Stegostoma tigrinum: one gene and its partner. The protein of the gene in region 1 interacts with the protein of each later gene in a pairwise test. Links are inferred from orthologs where the notes say so. Each region holds a gene or a part of one and is shown on either strand. Other genes may lie near its edges. The genes, in order: vps33b and vipas39.

Evidence for each region.
Region 2: the proteins of vps33b (region 1) and vipas39 interact in binary tests that used the Homo sapiens proteins (3 or more experiments, as listed by UniProt). The link is inferred for Stegostoma tigrinum from reciprocal best matches to the Homo sapiens genes VPS33B and VIPAS39.

What each region holds. Positions count from the first base shown.
Region 1 is NC_081389.1:22,273,647-22,281,119, forward strand, and holds the start of vps33b (vacuolar protein sorting-associated protein 33B), read right to left. Parts: upstream 3,245-7,473; 5' UTR 3,233-3,244; coding exon 3,113-3,232; intron 120-3,112; coding exon 39-119; intron 1-38. Other genes in the region: hddc3 (guanosine-3',5'-bis(diphosphate) 3'-pyrophosphohydrolase MESH1), read right to left, coding at 5,786-5,919, 6,596-6,836. UniProt on the Homo sapiens protein: May play a role in vesicle-mediated protein trafficking to lysosomal compartments and in membrane docking/fusion reactions of late endosomes/lysosomes.
Region 2 is NC_081363.1:14,199,614-14,207,898, reverse strand, and holds the start of vipas39 (spermatogenesis-defective protein 39 homolog), read left to right. Parts: upstream 1-5,071; 5' UTR 5,072-5,114; intron 5,115-5,127; exon of another isoform or gene 5,128-5,219; intron 5,220-5,266; exon of another isoform or gene 5,267-5,561; intron 5,562-7,244; exon of another isoform or gene 7,245-7,261; coding exon 7,262-7,351; intron 7,352-8,285.

The DNA of each region.
Region 1 (7,473 bases):
ATAGGTTGGGGACAGTTTTAAAGCAAGTATTAACTGACCTTCAGGATGGAGACATTTGCAATGCGGTCCAGAGGGCTCATCAAATCAGCTTCAATAAACAAATCCTTCTTTCCTGGTAACTAACAACACAGAAATTCCATTAAACAGGAGAAGGAATGGAAATGAGGAACTGTCACAGCTCTGTGTTTTTATTTTCTTAAAATACCACTTCTGTGTATTGAAAAATGCTCCAATCATAACAGAGTCAACTCCATTGGTCCTTCCAAGAGTCAATATGGAAATGAACACTCGGCCCATCACTTTCGCCTGTCCCTCTTATCATTCATACAGTCATAGAGATACACAGCATTGAAACAGACCCTTTGGGCCAGCTCGTCCCAGCCGACCAGAAATCCTATTTAAATTTAGTCCCATTTATCAGCATTTGGCCCATAATCCCTCCAAACCCTTCCTATTCATATACCATCCGGATGCTTTTAAAAAGTTATAATTGTACCAGATTCCACCACTTCTCACAGCTCATTCTGTATACACACCACCCTCTGCATGAAAAAGTTGTCCCTTAGGTCCCGTTTATATGTTTCCCCTCTCACCTTAAACTTATGCCCTCTAGTTTTGGACTCCCCAACCCTGCAGGAAAGACCTTGCCTATTTACCCTGGCCAAGCCCCTCATGGTTTTATCAACATCTGTAAGGTCACCCCTCAGTCTCTAACGCTGTAGGGAAAATAGCCCCAGCCTATTCAGCCTCTCCCTATAGCTCGAACTCTCCAAACCAGGCAACATCCTTGTAAATCTTTTCTAAGTCCTTTCAAGTTTCACAACGTCCTTCCCATATGAGGGAGACCAGAATTGCACACAATTTGCCAAAAGTGGCTGAACCAATCTCCTGTGCAGCCGCAACATGACCTCCCAACTCCTATACTCAACGTACTGACCAACAAAGGCAAGCATACCAAATACCTTCTTCACTATCTACTTACAACTCCACTTTCAAGAAACTATGAACCTCCACTCCTACGTCTCTTTATTCAGCAACACTCCCCAGGACGTTACCATTAAGTGTATAAGTCCTGACCTGATTTGCCTTTCCAAAATGCAACACCTCAGGATTTATCTAAATTAAACTCCATCTGCCACTCCTTGACTCATTGATCCATCTGATTAAGATCCCATTGTACTCGGAGGTAACTTTCTTCCCTATCAATTTTAGCATAATCTGCAAAGTTACAAACATACCTTCTATGTTCACAGCCAAATCATTTATATAAGTGATGATAAGCAGTGGACCCAGCACCAATCCTTGTGGCACATCCCTGGGCACAGGCCTCCAGTCTGAAAAGCAACCGTCCACCACGACCCCCTGTCTTTTACTGTTGAACCAGTTCTGTATCCAAACAGCTAGTTCTCTCTAAGATAATAAAATGTGAGGCTGGATGAACACAGCAGGCCAAGCAGCATCTCAGGAGCACAAAAGCTGACGTTTCGGGCCTAGACCCTTCATCAGAGAGGGGGATGGGGTGAGGGTTCTGGAATAAATAGGGAGAGAGGGGGAGGCGGACCGAAGATGGAGAGAAAAGAAGATAGGTGGAGAGGTAGGGAGGGGATAGGTCAGTCCAGGGAAGACAGACAGGTCAAGGAGGTGGGATGAGGTTAGTAGGTAGATGAGGGTGCGGCTTGGGGTGGGAGAAAGGGATGGGTGAGAGGAAGAACAGGTTAGGGAGGCGGAGACAGGTTGGACTGGTTTTGGGATGCAGTGGGTGGAGGGGAAGAGCTGGGCTGGTTGTGAGGTGCAGTGGGGGGAGGGGAACGAACTGGGCTGGTTTAGGGATGCGGTGGGAGAAGGGGAGATTTTGAAACTGGTGAAGTCCACATTGATACCATTAGGCTGCAGGGTTCCCAGACAGAATATGAGTTGCTGTTCCTGCAACCTTCGGGTGGCATCATTGTGGCACTGCAGGAGGCCCATGATGGACATGTCATCTAAAGAATGGGAGGGGGAGTGGAAATGGTTTGCGACTGGGAGGTGCAGTTGTTTGTTGCGAACTGAGTGGAGGTGTTCTGCAAAGCGGTCCCCAAGCCTCCGCTTGGTTTCCCCAATGTAGAGGAAGCCACACCGGGTACAGTGGATGCAGTATACCACATTGGCAGATGTGCAGGTGAACCTCTGCTTAATGTGGAATGTCATCTTGGGGCCTGGGATAGGGGTGAGGGAGGGAGGGAGCAAGTGTAGCATTTCCTGCGGTTGCAGGGGAAGGTGCCGGGTGTGGTGGGGTTGGAGGGCAGTGTGGAGCGAACAAGGGAGTCACGGAGAGAGTGGTCTCTCCGGAAAGCAGACAGGGGTGGGGATGGAAAAATGTCTTGGGTGGTGGGGTCGGATTGTAGATGGCGGAAGTGTCGGAGGATGATGCGTTGTATCCGGAGGTTGGTGGGGTGGTGTGTGAGAACGAGGGGGATCCTCTTGGGGCGGTTGTGGCGGGGGCGGGGTGTGAGGGATTTGTTGCGGGAAATACGGGAGACGCGGTCAAGGGCGTTCTCGATCACTGTGGGGGGAAAGTTGCGGTCCTTAAAGAACTTGGACATCTGGGATGTGCGGGAGTGGAATGTCTTGTCGTGGGAGCAGATGAGGCGGAGGCGGAGGAATTGGGAATAGGGGATGGAATTTTTGCAGGAGGGTGGGTGGGAGGAGGTGTATTCTAGGTAGCTGTGGGAGTCGGTGGACAGTTCTCTCTGTTGTCCATGCGATCTAACCTTGCTAGCCAGCTTACCATGAGGAACCTTATCAAACGCCTTACTGAAGTCCATATAGATCACATTCACTCAATAACCCCTCCCCCAAGGGTCAACCCGTCCGTTTTTCTTATCCATCGGTCAACTCATCCCACCAGGGGTCACTCCATCGCTTCTTCCCCCCACCCCCACACGCTAAACATTACCGTATGGGCTATAAACCGCCTCTCACTACACTACACTACCGGCGTCACCGTCTCCCTGTCTCCCTCCCAAACGGCCGGGGGGGTCACACCCTCCTTTCCCCTCTAGCCGTGTCACTTATCACCCACCCCGGCATGTCACGCCCTCCCCTCCCCGGAAGATGTCAGCCTTTCTCCCACCTGCTCCAGTAAGTAAATGAGTTGATCCCTGGCGATTCTTTTCAAGACGTCGAAATCCGGCAGCTCTGGAGCATCCCAGCGGCCCGCCATCTTATCCCAAGGAGCCGCTTCCGGGGTCATGTTTGGCGCTTCCGGCGCCGCGTCTCCTAGCAACCGGCGCGCAGTCTTCCCCGGGAACAGTAGGCCTCACATGGAGTCACTGTTTACAGCCAGAGCCGGGGAACTGGGGGGCAATTGTTCTGCTTCTGCTTAAACTGGAGCCCAAACCTCAGCTCAGCTGGAGCCTGCACTCAGATACTTTCTGATAACAGTGAGCAATACACGAAGTGTTATGTTTTTTGTAGCACTCCTTACCATGACCATTCTCCAGCATCTGCAGTTCCCATTATCTCTATAACTGGTCACCACTTTGCTGGGTTTACACAGTAAGCCAACTGGGGAGATCAAACTCACAGCTGAACACAAACCACAACTCCATTCACTCTACATCAATCTTTCCATCCCAATCCCTAACATTTCCCCAATGTTGGTAACTCTTCATTACGACCAAGTTAAGGAGACTCGCCGATGTGTCCTGATTCCAACCTAGCAGGTTATGCTTCATCAGTTTATCCTCTCCATGAAGTTTTACACTACTGGGTGTTACACATTTCTAAAAAACACCAGTTAATTGCGGAAAAGGTTTGACATGTCTGCATGAGAAAAAAACATTCTTTTTAAATGAGATAGTAGGAACTGCCGATGCTGGAGAATCTTCTTTTTCAATTACATCCCTTAAAGAGATGATAGTCGTGGTATGGGCTAGCCTTGAATTGAAAAAGATTTATTGTCACGTACTCACATGAGCACAATGAGGTTTACAAGTGTCAACATAATGGTACTATCTTAAGTACAAAAACAATTAGCTACAAAGCAGAAAAACAAAGTAAAAAAAGATAAACATTACAATCCTTCTTACTAAAACGTGGAAAAACAAAGAAACACAGTTTGCAGTTCAACACCTCAGTCTGTAAGTACATGGCCATGCTGGGCTTGTACTCAAGGGCTCGACCTTGACCTGCACTGCCAGCTCTTGCCACCTTGCAGCCTGTTCCTGTTCTTGCTCCTGCCAGCTGCCTCAGGTTGCCCACTCCCACTCTTAGAGTCACAGAGTCATACAGTATGGAAACAGACCCTTTAGTCCAACCAGCCCATGCCAAACATAATCACCAAACTACGCTGGTCCCACCTGTCTGCTCCAGGCTTATATACCCCCAAATCTTTCCTATTCACGGACTTGTCCAAATGTATTTTATCGTGAAATATAACACCTGTACCAAAACTATAATAAATTTTAATTAAGCCTGCAAACCCAGGAGCAGTTGCAAGATCCTCACTGCACTTCCACCATCCTTGCAGCTATCGATGTGGATGTACTAAATGAGGAATGGTCCGATCTTATCATAAAATGGCCCTGATGCTGTACAGTAACATATGGAGGTGAAGTACAGGAAAACTGTCTCAAATTGCAAACTGCTACCGTGAACCACGGGTGCCTGAGTCAATGAAAATAATGGACTTCTTGAACAAACAGTCCTTAATTTAAGCACTATCCTTAGAATTATAAAATTCCTACAGTGTGGAAGCAGAGTATTTGGCCCAGAGTCCACACTGAGCCTGATCACCCCCTACCCTATCCACATAACCCTGCATTTCCCATAGCTAACCCACCTAATCTGTGCATCTTTGAACTGTGGGAGGAAACCCACATAGACAGTTGCTGAGGGCAGAATCGAACCTGGGTCCCTGGGTGCTGTGAGGCTGGAGTGCTAACCACTAAGCCATCATGCTGCCATGCTGTAAGGAGAAGATATCCTTGCTAAGGAAGATACGTAAGCATTTGGAGATTCTGTGGGAGCCAGGCAGACATTCCAGAACATTAGCAACTAATTAGACTTGTTGTTAATTCAACCTGGTGAACCAATCAATGGCAGCTTACCTGCACAGAACTGTGCAAGCCAATGCTATAATATGTAGGGAAGGTCTGGTTGGAGCAGTTTTCAGGAGGCTTACCAGCCCTCTGTATCAGTTGGCTGGGCCTTTCTAACCTCCTGAGGTACTTGTGTGTTGGTTGAGGACCTCCTTGGATCTATAAACGGGTGCCTAAGTTCTCTGAATTTATACAAAGTACAGTTTCCATACTGAATTAATGTGTTGTCACCTCTGGCAAACTGAAATTCTTTTTGTGTGGATTCCTTAATAGTTCAGGGTGAAGACTCAAACATGGAGTTGGGTTTGCACGTGTTGGATGAAAAGAATTGAGAAACACCCTCCCATATAAAATGTACCTGCTATCAAGATCTTTATGGATGAAAATTACAAGGTACATTTTAAAATGTGTCAAAAATCAATCATTTAGCATCAAAATAAAGATGTGATGATAGAAGAATAGTAACCCACAGAACAAAAATGTTTTATTTTAAAGACAATAAAACAGGGAGGGATTCACAGCACAAGGTAAATGAGCAGCATTGATATATTCATTCAATCTGATCATCAAGGACATTCTTGAATATTTAAATTTAGAGATTATTATCTTGTCATTTAAAACTTCATTCCACAATGATAGACCTAATGGTAAAGTACTGCACGATCTTCTATCTTAAAATGTAATCAATTTCAAACAAAACCTCATTATCCAGTAAGAATATTTCTTTCTTTGAAAAGTGCATCCAGGCTCTTTTCAAGGATCTGATTCGTTCCTCGAAGTCCAGCAACCACTTGGGAAGCCCAGATGAAATATTGTTCAACGCGTTTCTCTGTCCATCCTGAAAAGGGATTCAGCAGAGCAAAAGTCAAGTCCATTCCCTCCACAGGTACCCGAACCCTCTGTTCTTTCCCATTCTATTCCTCGGCCCAGACCCTGGGGCTAATCTTGGTTCTTCAAATAATATCATTCAACATTTACTTTAGCCACTGTGGGGTTTGGTTAGCTCTGTTAGTTAGAAACCATGAATGAGTTGGGCTAAATGGCCTGTTTCCGTGCTGTAAACGTCTATAACTCTATGACTCAGAGTGTGGTGCAGAATGGTGCCAACTGCACAGCTTGAATTCCTTGGAAACTGCGGTAGTTCATGGAGACCTAAGCCCATGCCTTGATGCTATAAAACCATTTTTCTCTCTCAATGAGAGCATAATGGCAACGGCTCCTCATAGATTTAGCTAATTACCATATCTGAGCCACCATAATAGGTAGGCAGGGCTCTTTCCTAAGGCTCACAGCTCTGACAGTGCAGCATTCCTCCACTTCTGCACTGCATTGCCAGTCTAGTTTGTATGCTGAAGTGGGGTTTACCCAACATGCAGGGAGGGACTGGGAACTCAGGCTGTGCTTTCCTGTAGAGATGATGAAAGAATAATTGCTAGGACTCAGGGAACACAATAACAATTATACATGCGCTGGGAACCTGGTAGGAGAAAAACAAAAAGGACTGCATTGCTGACCTGCTGGAGTGCAGCGTTTGAGATCCCTCAGGTTGTACAGTTTATCTGCCAGTTTCACTAGTTTAGCTTCGTAGCTGCAGTGAGGGGCATGTTGGATCTGTAACTCCTTCCGTTTCTCCTTTGATAGAGACTTATCGTCTGTCACTTCAGCAACAATACTCCTCACCTTCTCTCCAAACCTCTCTGCAATCTCTGTAAACGTAGTGTCCGTATCTTCAACAGTGTCGTGCAGAAGTGCGGCCTTGACAAAAGGTGAGAAACAGAAAGATAAATCTCAGTTGTTCCACACATCACAGTTCAATTGTTGTTTTGGCCCCAATGAGCCATGTACTAACATACTCAGCTCTGAATTTTCACACTTCACCTAGGACTGGAATACATAGTCTAAGGTGAGACTGAGGGAGTGTAGCATGGTCAGCGTCTTTCATAATGATGTATCACAAAATTGTTACAGATTGAAAGGGGGGTCATTTGGCCCATCGTGTCTGCACTGGCTCTCCGAATGAACAGCTCGCTTCATGCCATTCCCCTACCACTTGCCCATCATTGTGCCCAACCTTGTGTTTCAGAGAACCATTTAATTCCTTTCCAAATGCCCTGACTGAACCTTGTGAAAGGAACATTTTTAGAATGCTGTGCTGGAATGGTGAGTAGGAGTAAGATGAAATGACATTGAGCTGAAATGTTAACCATTTCTGTCTTCACCAATGCTGCCAGACCTGCTGAGGTTCTCCAGTTTATCTATGCTTATCTCAGATCTCTAGCATTTGGAGTATTTTACTTTGTGCAAAGTGGAAGGCGATATGCACAGATCATAAACACAGGCAGAATGGTTATGCTGAACAGCATGGTTTTGTGCTATAAACCCAAAGCCGATA
Region 2 (8,285 bases), on another chromosome or scaffold:
CCCTGGGGAGAAGACCTTGCCTATTTACCTTTTCCATGCCCCTCCTGATTTTATAAACTTCAATAATGTCACCCATCCAACACTCCAAGGAAAATAGCCCCAGCTACTCAGCCTTTCCCTAGAGCTCAAACCCTCCAAGCCTGGCAACATCCTCATAAATCTTTTCTGAACCCTTTCAAGTTTCACAACATCCTTCCTATAGAAGGGAGACCGGAATTGCACACAATACTCCTAAAGTGGCCAAACCAATGTCCTATACAGCCACATGACCTCCCAACTCCTAGATTCAATGCACTGACCGATAAAGACAATTATGCCAAACGCGTTCTGCACTGTGCTATCTACCTGCAACTCCACTTTCAAAGAACTATGAACCTGCACTCAAAGGTCTCTTTGCACAGCAACACTCCCTATGACCTTACCATTAAGCGTATAAGTCCTGCCCTGATTTGCCTTTCCAAAATGCACCACCACCTGTTTATCTAAATTACTCCTCTGCCCATTAGCCCATCTGATCAAGGTCCCATGGTATTCTAAGATAACCTTCTTCGCTGACTGCTACACCTCCAATTTTGGTGTTATCTGCAAGCTTACTATACCATACCTTCTACGTTCCCATCCAAATCATTGCTATAAATGACAAAAAGCAGTGAACCCAGTACTGATCCTTGTGGCACACCACTAAACGCAGGCCTCCAGTCTGAAAAGTAACCTTCCACCACCACCCTCTGTCTTTACCTTTGAAACAGTTATATATCCAAATAGCTAGTTCTCCCTGTATTCCGTGTGATCTAACCTTGCTAACCAGTCTACCATGAGGAATCTTATCAAATGCCTTATTGAAGTCAATATGGGTCACAACCACTGCTCTGCCCTTGTCAATCCTCTTCATTACTTCTTCAAAAAACTGAATAAAGTTAGTGAAACATAATTTTCGATGCATAAAACCCATGTAGACTACCCCCAATCCGTCCTTGCCTTTCAAACACATGTAAAACCTCAGGAATCTGTCCAACAACTTGCCTACCAGTAATGTCAGGCTCACTGGTCTATAGTGCCCTGGCTTCTCCTTATCATCTCTGGCACAATGTGAGCTAAACTTCAGTATTCTAGCACCTCACCTGTGGCTATCGATGATACAAATATCTCAGCATATGACATCTACCCAGAGCAATGTGGTTGACTCTGAAATGACATAGCAAGTCATTCAGTTCAAGGGCAATTGGGGAGAGACAACACATGCTGGCAATGCTACAGATGCCCACACCCCATGAAACAATAAAATATAAAACAATTTTTTTTTCTTTAACGGGATGCAGGCATCACTGACCAGGCAGCATTTATTGCCCATCCTTAATTGTCCAGAGGACAGTTAAGAGCCAACCGTACTGCTGTGTGGATCTGGAGTCGCGTGTAGGCCAGACCAGGTTAGGATGGCAGTTTCTTTCCCTAAAGGACATTAGTGAACCAGATGGATTTTTCCGACAATCAGCAATGGCTTCATGCTCATCATTAGACTGTTAATTCCAGATATTTTATGGGGTTCAAATTCCATCATCTGCCATGGCAGGATTCGAACCAAGTCCCCAGATCATTATCTGGGTCTCTGGATAATACCATGACATCATCGCCTTCCCAAATATTGCTCCTAACTCATACGTATGTTTACTCAAGAACGGTAAAGTCAGATGTTGCTACTAAGTAAGAAATAGGTGCTCTTAGCAATAGCATGAATACAGGTTTGGAGGTTCATACAAAAATCAAATGTGACAAAAAGGATGTCAGCCAACTAGTTTAATCTCAGTTACCAAGGAAAGGATTGGAGCTGGTAATGAGGAATCTATGATTGGACTAGGGTCAGAAAACAATTGCTTCTGTATTCCCCAGAAAGAAATTTCTGTCCATTCAGCATGGCAGTTTAGCAGTCTGATAATTGAGTGACAGTGGCAGTGTCAAAAGTGATGGTACTGAGGTGGAGCTTGGTATCAACTGTAAATATGAAAACTAATGCTGTGTGTTTGGATGATGTCACTGAGGGGCAATGTGTAGATGAGAAATAGCAGGTGGAGGGAAGGATGTAGTTGAGTAAATGAGTAGGTGCAGAAATGTTGTGGTGAACCGTTCTTTGTTTTTAACCTTCAGGACATGTTGCCCAGTTCTTGAGCCTTGAAGTTCGACCAACGAGGGAAAATTCTTGCTGTCTACTATCTTTATACCTCAATCTTGAATGCTATCAAATCTCACTTCAATCTTCTCTTTCCACAGGGAGGTAAATCTATCCACACACATGTATCCACTCCAGAACCTTCACAATCTTTCTAAAGTTTGGAACCCAGTGACATATTTTCAGATACCTGAGTACCAGCATGATACCTGTTGTGGTCATGTCCAGTGTAACTGTCTGAGACCTCATGGGTTGATTAATTGCCATCATTACTTCTTATTGATGTTACCCCATATTACTGATATCAAGTGACGGAAGGATGCTTCTGCAATGTCTTTGGCAGAAAAGAGGCTTGGTCTGGATGAACAGAGTAGGTTTTTGACATACTTCTTAATAGCAAGTTACAAAGTATCTGAATTACATGACAGTCTCTTAGACCAGACATAAAAATGTATATGTTATGCTAGCTGCATAGATTTAGCACTAGGACAGTAATAACCAAGCTGTGTGGTAATTTTGAAACTGGTTACCTCATCCCAGGAAGTGTCCTGATGGGTGGAGTTTATTTATGGTAAAAACTGAAAGTGAAGAAACTTGGCAGAATCAGCAGCATCTGTGGAGATAAAAACAGAGTCCATTATAAATTTTCTTTAGAGCTTTAGGGGCTGCAAATGTGATGGGTTCTGTGCTTTAGAAAAAGGGAGGAAAGTAGCAAGTAAAACGTAAATGCACCCCAGAGTAAAAGTCAAAGAGCATGCCAATAGTAATGGAGAAAAGATATAGATGGGAGGTAGGTATTAATGGTAGTTGTTAATAGTAGAAAAAAGGTCAGCTGTACTGAAAACAAACCCTTACAGGCAAGATGCTGTGGTAATCAAAACAAAGGACGAAGTTCATGGTCTGATGTTGTCCAGCTCAATGTTGAATCCTGGAGACCGTAAAGTGCCTAAGTGGAAAGACAGCTGGTGTTTATCCAGCTTGTAATCGGCTTCACTGGAACACTGCAGTATGCATAGGCCAAAAATGTTGGTGTGAGAGCAAGATTGCATATTGAAATGGAACCAGAGATCAAGGTCATTCTTGAGTCAAAAGCAAGGGTGTTCTGCAAAATGGTCACATGGTCTGCATTTGGCATTGGCAGTGCAGAGGAGACTGCATTGTGAGCAGCAAGTACGATAGACTAGATTGAATAAAGTGCAAGAAAATTGTTGCTTCAAATGGAATAACTGTTTGGGGCTTTGGACAGTGAAAGAGATGGGGCAAAGAGTTAAATGTTATACCTTCTGTTATTTCATGAATAGGCACCATGGAGCAGTGAAGAGCTGTTAGGAGTGAAGCAGGAATGACCCAGAGTTTCCTGTACAGGCGCACATGGCAGCAATGGAGAATGGTACTTCCAAATGCAGAGACTGGTGGAATGGGAAAATGAGGACAAGGCAGGCCTTTTGCTGCTCTGGGAGGAAGAAGTAGGAGGAAATGGATTGAACACAGCTAAGAGTCAACCGTAGTGGTTATGGAAGGTGGCATCATTGGAACAAATGAGACTGAGTTAGAGAAACGAGGCAAATGGACTAGAAACCAGGTGTGAGGAAGCGTAGTCAAGATGGCTGTGGGAGACAGTGAATAGATAGCCTAACTCACGATATAGAAACAGACAAGTCAAGGAGGGGAGACAAGTATCTGAACAGGACCAGGTGAAGATGAGAGAAATATGGAAATTGGAAGCAAAATTAAATGTTTCCAACTCATAGTATCAATGCAGTAATCAATGAAAGCAATCTGGTTGGAGGCTCCAAGCAGGACTGGAAATTTTTAAATATCAAGGAGGCTGGCATAACTGGGACAATTAACTGTTAGCTGACGATGCCAGGCCTGCTGAGTGAATTATAGAATCCCTACATTGCAGAAAGAGGCCAGTCAGCCCAACTAACCCTCCAAAGTCCATCCCACTCAAACCTTATCAGCATAACTCCCGCTTTTACCATGACTAATCCATGTAGCCTGCACATCCATGGACTCTACAGGGCAAGTTAGCATGGTCAATCCACCTAACCTGTACATCTTTGGACTGTGGGAGGATGCTGGAGAAGCTGGCAGAAACCCATGCAGACCTGGGGAGAAGATGCAAACTCCATACAGACAGTCAACTGAGGCTAGAATCAAACCTGGGTGCCAGGCACTGAGAGGCAACAGCGCTAACCCATGAGCCACTTGCTGTCCACCAAGGAATTTCTGGTTTTGTTTGTTTCAGATCTCCAGCATTTGCAATTGTTTTTATCAACTGTTAGAACCCATATGCGTGCACATAGTCATTAAAGAAAAGAATGTGAGATGAGTTAAAGGAAAAATTGTTCAAAGTGAGAATGAGTTTGTGATGTCAGTTAAACCGGTTAACAGGTATCAGATGCCTAATACAAAAGAATTGGAGTCAATACTCCATTTGAGGCCATGTTTTATAAAGCCTCATTATAAATTTTCGTCTTCTGTTTTCTCCCTCTATTAAAGCCCAGGTTCGTGTGAGCTTTTGTAATCACATTCTCCACTCCATTTTAACAGCGTAAATACTCCTAATTCTCCCTATTCCTCTACTTTTCCAAATAAATTTTCGGCATTAAATGGAAGTGTCTGCCTATTTTAAATGATATGTTTTTGCACAGTGAGGGTTGGGCCAGGGAAGGAGAAATGAAAAACAGAAGCTTTTGGTTTAAAAGAAAAGGTACAGACGCGAAATAAATAAGAAAACTATAGCTTGCTTGGAAATGTCTGTCTAACCAGGAGCTCAGGCACCCTTTAAGTAAAAGTCACCGATCCGACACGGGATCAATTCATCGCTGCACCTATTGTACAACAGCATAATACATCCCTGAAGTGAAACTCTGGCGACGATACTCTCATGGAAAAACCACAATAGAGAGAGAGAGAGAGAAAGAACAAAATCCAAGTTTTGCTGGTGAGGCCTAAACCTGATTTTTCATTTTCTTCTCCTCTTCTCGGATAGTGGTGGCAAACTCCTAACTGCACCGAAATCCCGAACCCTCGCAAGGGCTGACGGGGGTTGTAGTCTGCGGGTCCGATCGGAAACTACAGTTCCGGGCTTCGGTGCGTGCGCACAGCAGTCGAAGACCTACCAGTTTCTGAGGGGTTGATGCCGGGAAGTGAGTGAGTTCAGGGGTGAGTGAAGAGGGGAGGACGTTAATTTACTTTGTGTAAACACTGGTCCAGTAGACAGATTATCAAGGTGAACGTGGCGGTATGAGACAGAAAATGGGCTCTGTATGAGCTGAGATGACGGGAACTGCAGATAACCCAGACCTGAGTCAAGTATGTCAGCCTGAGTGACCAGCTATCAGCCTGTGTCCTGAAATTGCCCTTGTCCGTCCGGAACACGGAAAGGTAGGTAAGCCCCTCCAGAAGGTCATCTTCCAACATTAAACTGGCATTGTTTTAAGAGACCAGGTGTCCCATGCTGACGTTTTATATTTTGCTTAAAGTCAGGTCCCAATGTACTTCCTCCCCCTCTTTAAAAAGTACCAGTTACTATCCAACCGATTTTCAGCTTTCTTCCTCCATGTATGTAGCCGGAACCCCATTCCCCCCCTCCCCTCCCCGACATCGGATTGCAGTCTTGCAGCCTACCTGTCGATATCCTCTCCCAGTTTACTGTCAAGGTAGATTGAGTCAGTTTGTGCCCTTTTCAGGAGGGTGGAAGTTTCATTCCACATGCGTACACTCTGGTCTGCCAGAGGTTGTGACTGGCAGGAAATGTCATGGTTGATTACATTGCTCTTTGTTATGCCTCCACTGCTGCCTTGCCTGCAATGAGCTAACTGGGATAGTTTGTGCATTCCTCTTAAGTCACCAATGAACCCTTGCAGCAAGAACTTTTCAAAGAACGCAGAAACCTCAGTATCAGTTAAGCTTGGGGACCATTCCTGTATTTTATAAACATTATGATTAATTTCCATCCTTGTTTTCAAATTCATGCATGGTCTTGCCTGCCCTATCTCTAATCTCCATTTGTGGTGTTACGGGGCCTCAGTGCTGGATGTGAGTTTGCTCGCTGAGCTGGAGCTCACTGATGTTACCTATAATGGTGACGAAACGTCTGAGCTCACTGATGATGTTACCTAGAATGGTGACAAAACGTCTGAAAACTAACCTTCCAGCTCAGCGAGCAAACTCACATCCAGAACCTCAACCTGAGCTACAAATCTTCTCAAAACTCGCTGGGGCCTCAGTGGTTAGCACCATTGCCAGGGACCAAGGTTTGATTCCACCCCAGGATAACTGTTGGTTTTTTCCCACAGTCCAGAGTTGTGCAGGCTATGTAGATTAGCCGTGGGAAACGCAGGGTCACAGGAATAGGGTAATTTGATTAGATTAGATTACTTACAGTGTGGAAACAGGCCCTTCCGCCCAGCAAGTCCACACTGCCCCTTGAAGCATCCTACCCAGACCTGTCCCCCTGTAACCCACACACCCCTGAACACTACTGGCAATTTAGCATGGCCAATCCACCTAGCCTGCACATCTTTGGACTGTGGGAGGAAACCGGAGCACCCAGAGGAAACCCACACAGACAGTCACCCAGGGCTGGATTCGAGCCCGGGTCCCTGGCGCTGTGAGGCTGCAGTGCTAACCACTGAGCCACCGTGCCACCCAAATGCTTTATGGAGAGTCAGTGTAGAATTGATGGGCTGAATGGCTTGCTTCCACACTGTAGGATTCTATGATTTCCACAGCCCTCCAATTATCTGCACTAAATTAATTTCAGTTCCTTTTGCATTCCCAGTTATAATGTATCCACCGTTTGTGGTTGGACCTGTAGTTGCCTACACCCCAGGCTCCAAAACACTCTTCTGAAAGATGCCACCTGTAGGTTGCAGGAACAGCAACCTTGCTTTCTTTCTTTACAAAAATTCTTAATAGCTAACTCTTTGACAAAGCCTTTGGTCAGCTGATCTATTATCACATTATGTGGCAGGTGTAATACTTGGTTTTATGCAGCTTCTATGAAGTACATTTCGTGGTTTCATTACAGGCACAATGTAAATATAAGTTATTAATTTAATTTTTTCAGTTTTTCTATATTTGCAGATGAGCAGAACTAAAAATGATGAAGAAGATTATTGGAACAGTACAAAATGCAAAGCTTTTGTATTTGATGATGATGATGAATTTACAGAGGTGAGTAAATTGCCTGCATTTAAATTCCTAGGTCCCAAGAACCTTGTCTGCCTTCTGGAGAGACCACTCTCTCCGTGACTCCCTTGTCTGCTCCACACTCCCCTCCAACCCCACCACACCCGGCACCATACCCTGCAACTGCAGGAAGTGCTACACTTGCCCCCACACTACCTCCCTCACCCCCATCCCAGGCCCCAAGATGACCTTCCGTATCAAGCAGATGTTCATCTGCACATCTGCCAATGTGGTATACTGCATCCGTTGTACACGTTGTGGCATCCTCTACATTGGGGAAACGAAGCGGAGACTTGGGGACCGCTTTGCAGAACATCTACACTTGGTTCACAGTAAACATCTGCACCTCCCCGATGCGAACCATTTCAACTCTCCCTCGCATTCGTGAGATGACATGTCCATCCTGGGCCTCCTGCAGTGCCATAATGCCAACCTGTAGGTTGCAGGAACAGCAACTCATATTCCGCTTGGGAACCCTGCAGCCCAATGGTATCAATGTGGATTTCACCAGCTTCAAAATCCACCCCCCCCCCCCCCCCCCCCCAGCATCCCAAACCAGCCCAGCTCGTCCCAGCTTATCTAACCTGTTCTTCCTCTCACCTATCCCCTCCTCCCACCTCAAGCTGCAACTCCATTTCCTACTTACTAACCTCATCCCGCTCCCTTGACCTATCCATCCTCCCAGGACTGACCTATCCCCTCCCTACCTCACCTCTCCTCTCCACCTATCTTCTCCTCTATCCATCTTCAGTCCGCCTCCTCCTCTCTCCCTATTTATTTCAGAATCCTCTCCCCATCCTCCTTTTCTGATGAAGGGTCTAGGCCCGAACGGTCAGCTTTTGTGCTCCTGAGATGCTGCTTGGCCTGCTGTGTTCATCCAGCTCCACACTTTGTTGCACTTTCTGCACTGTCTGTTTCC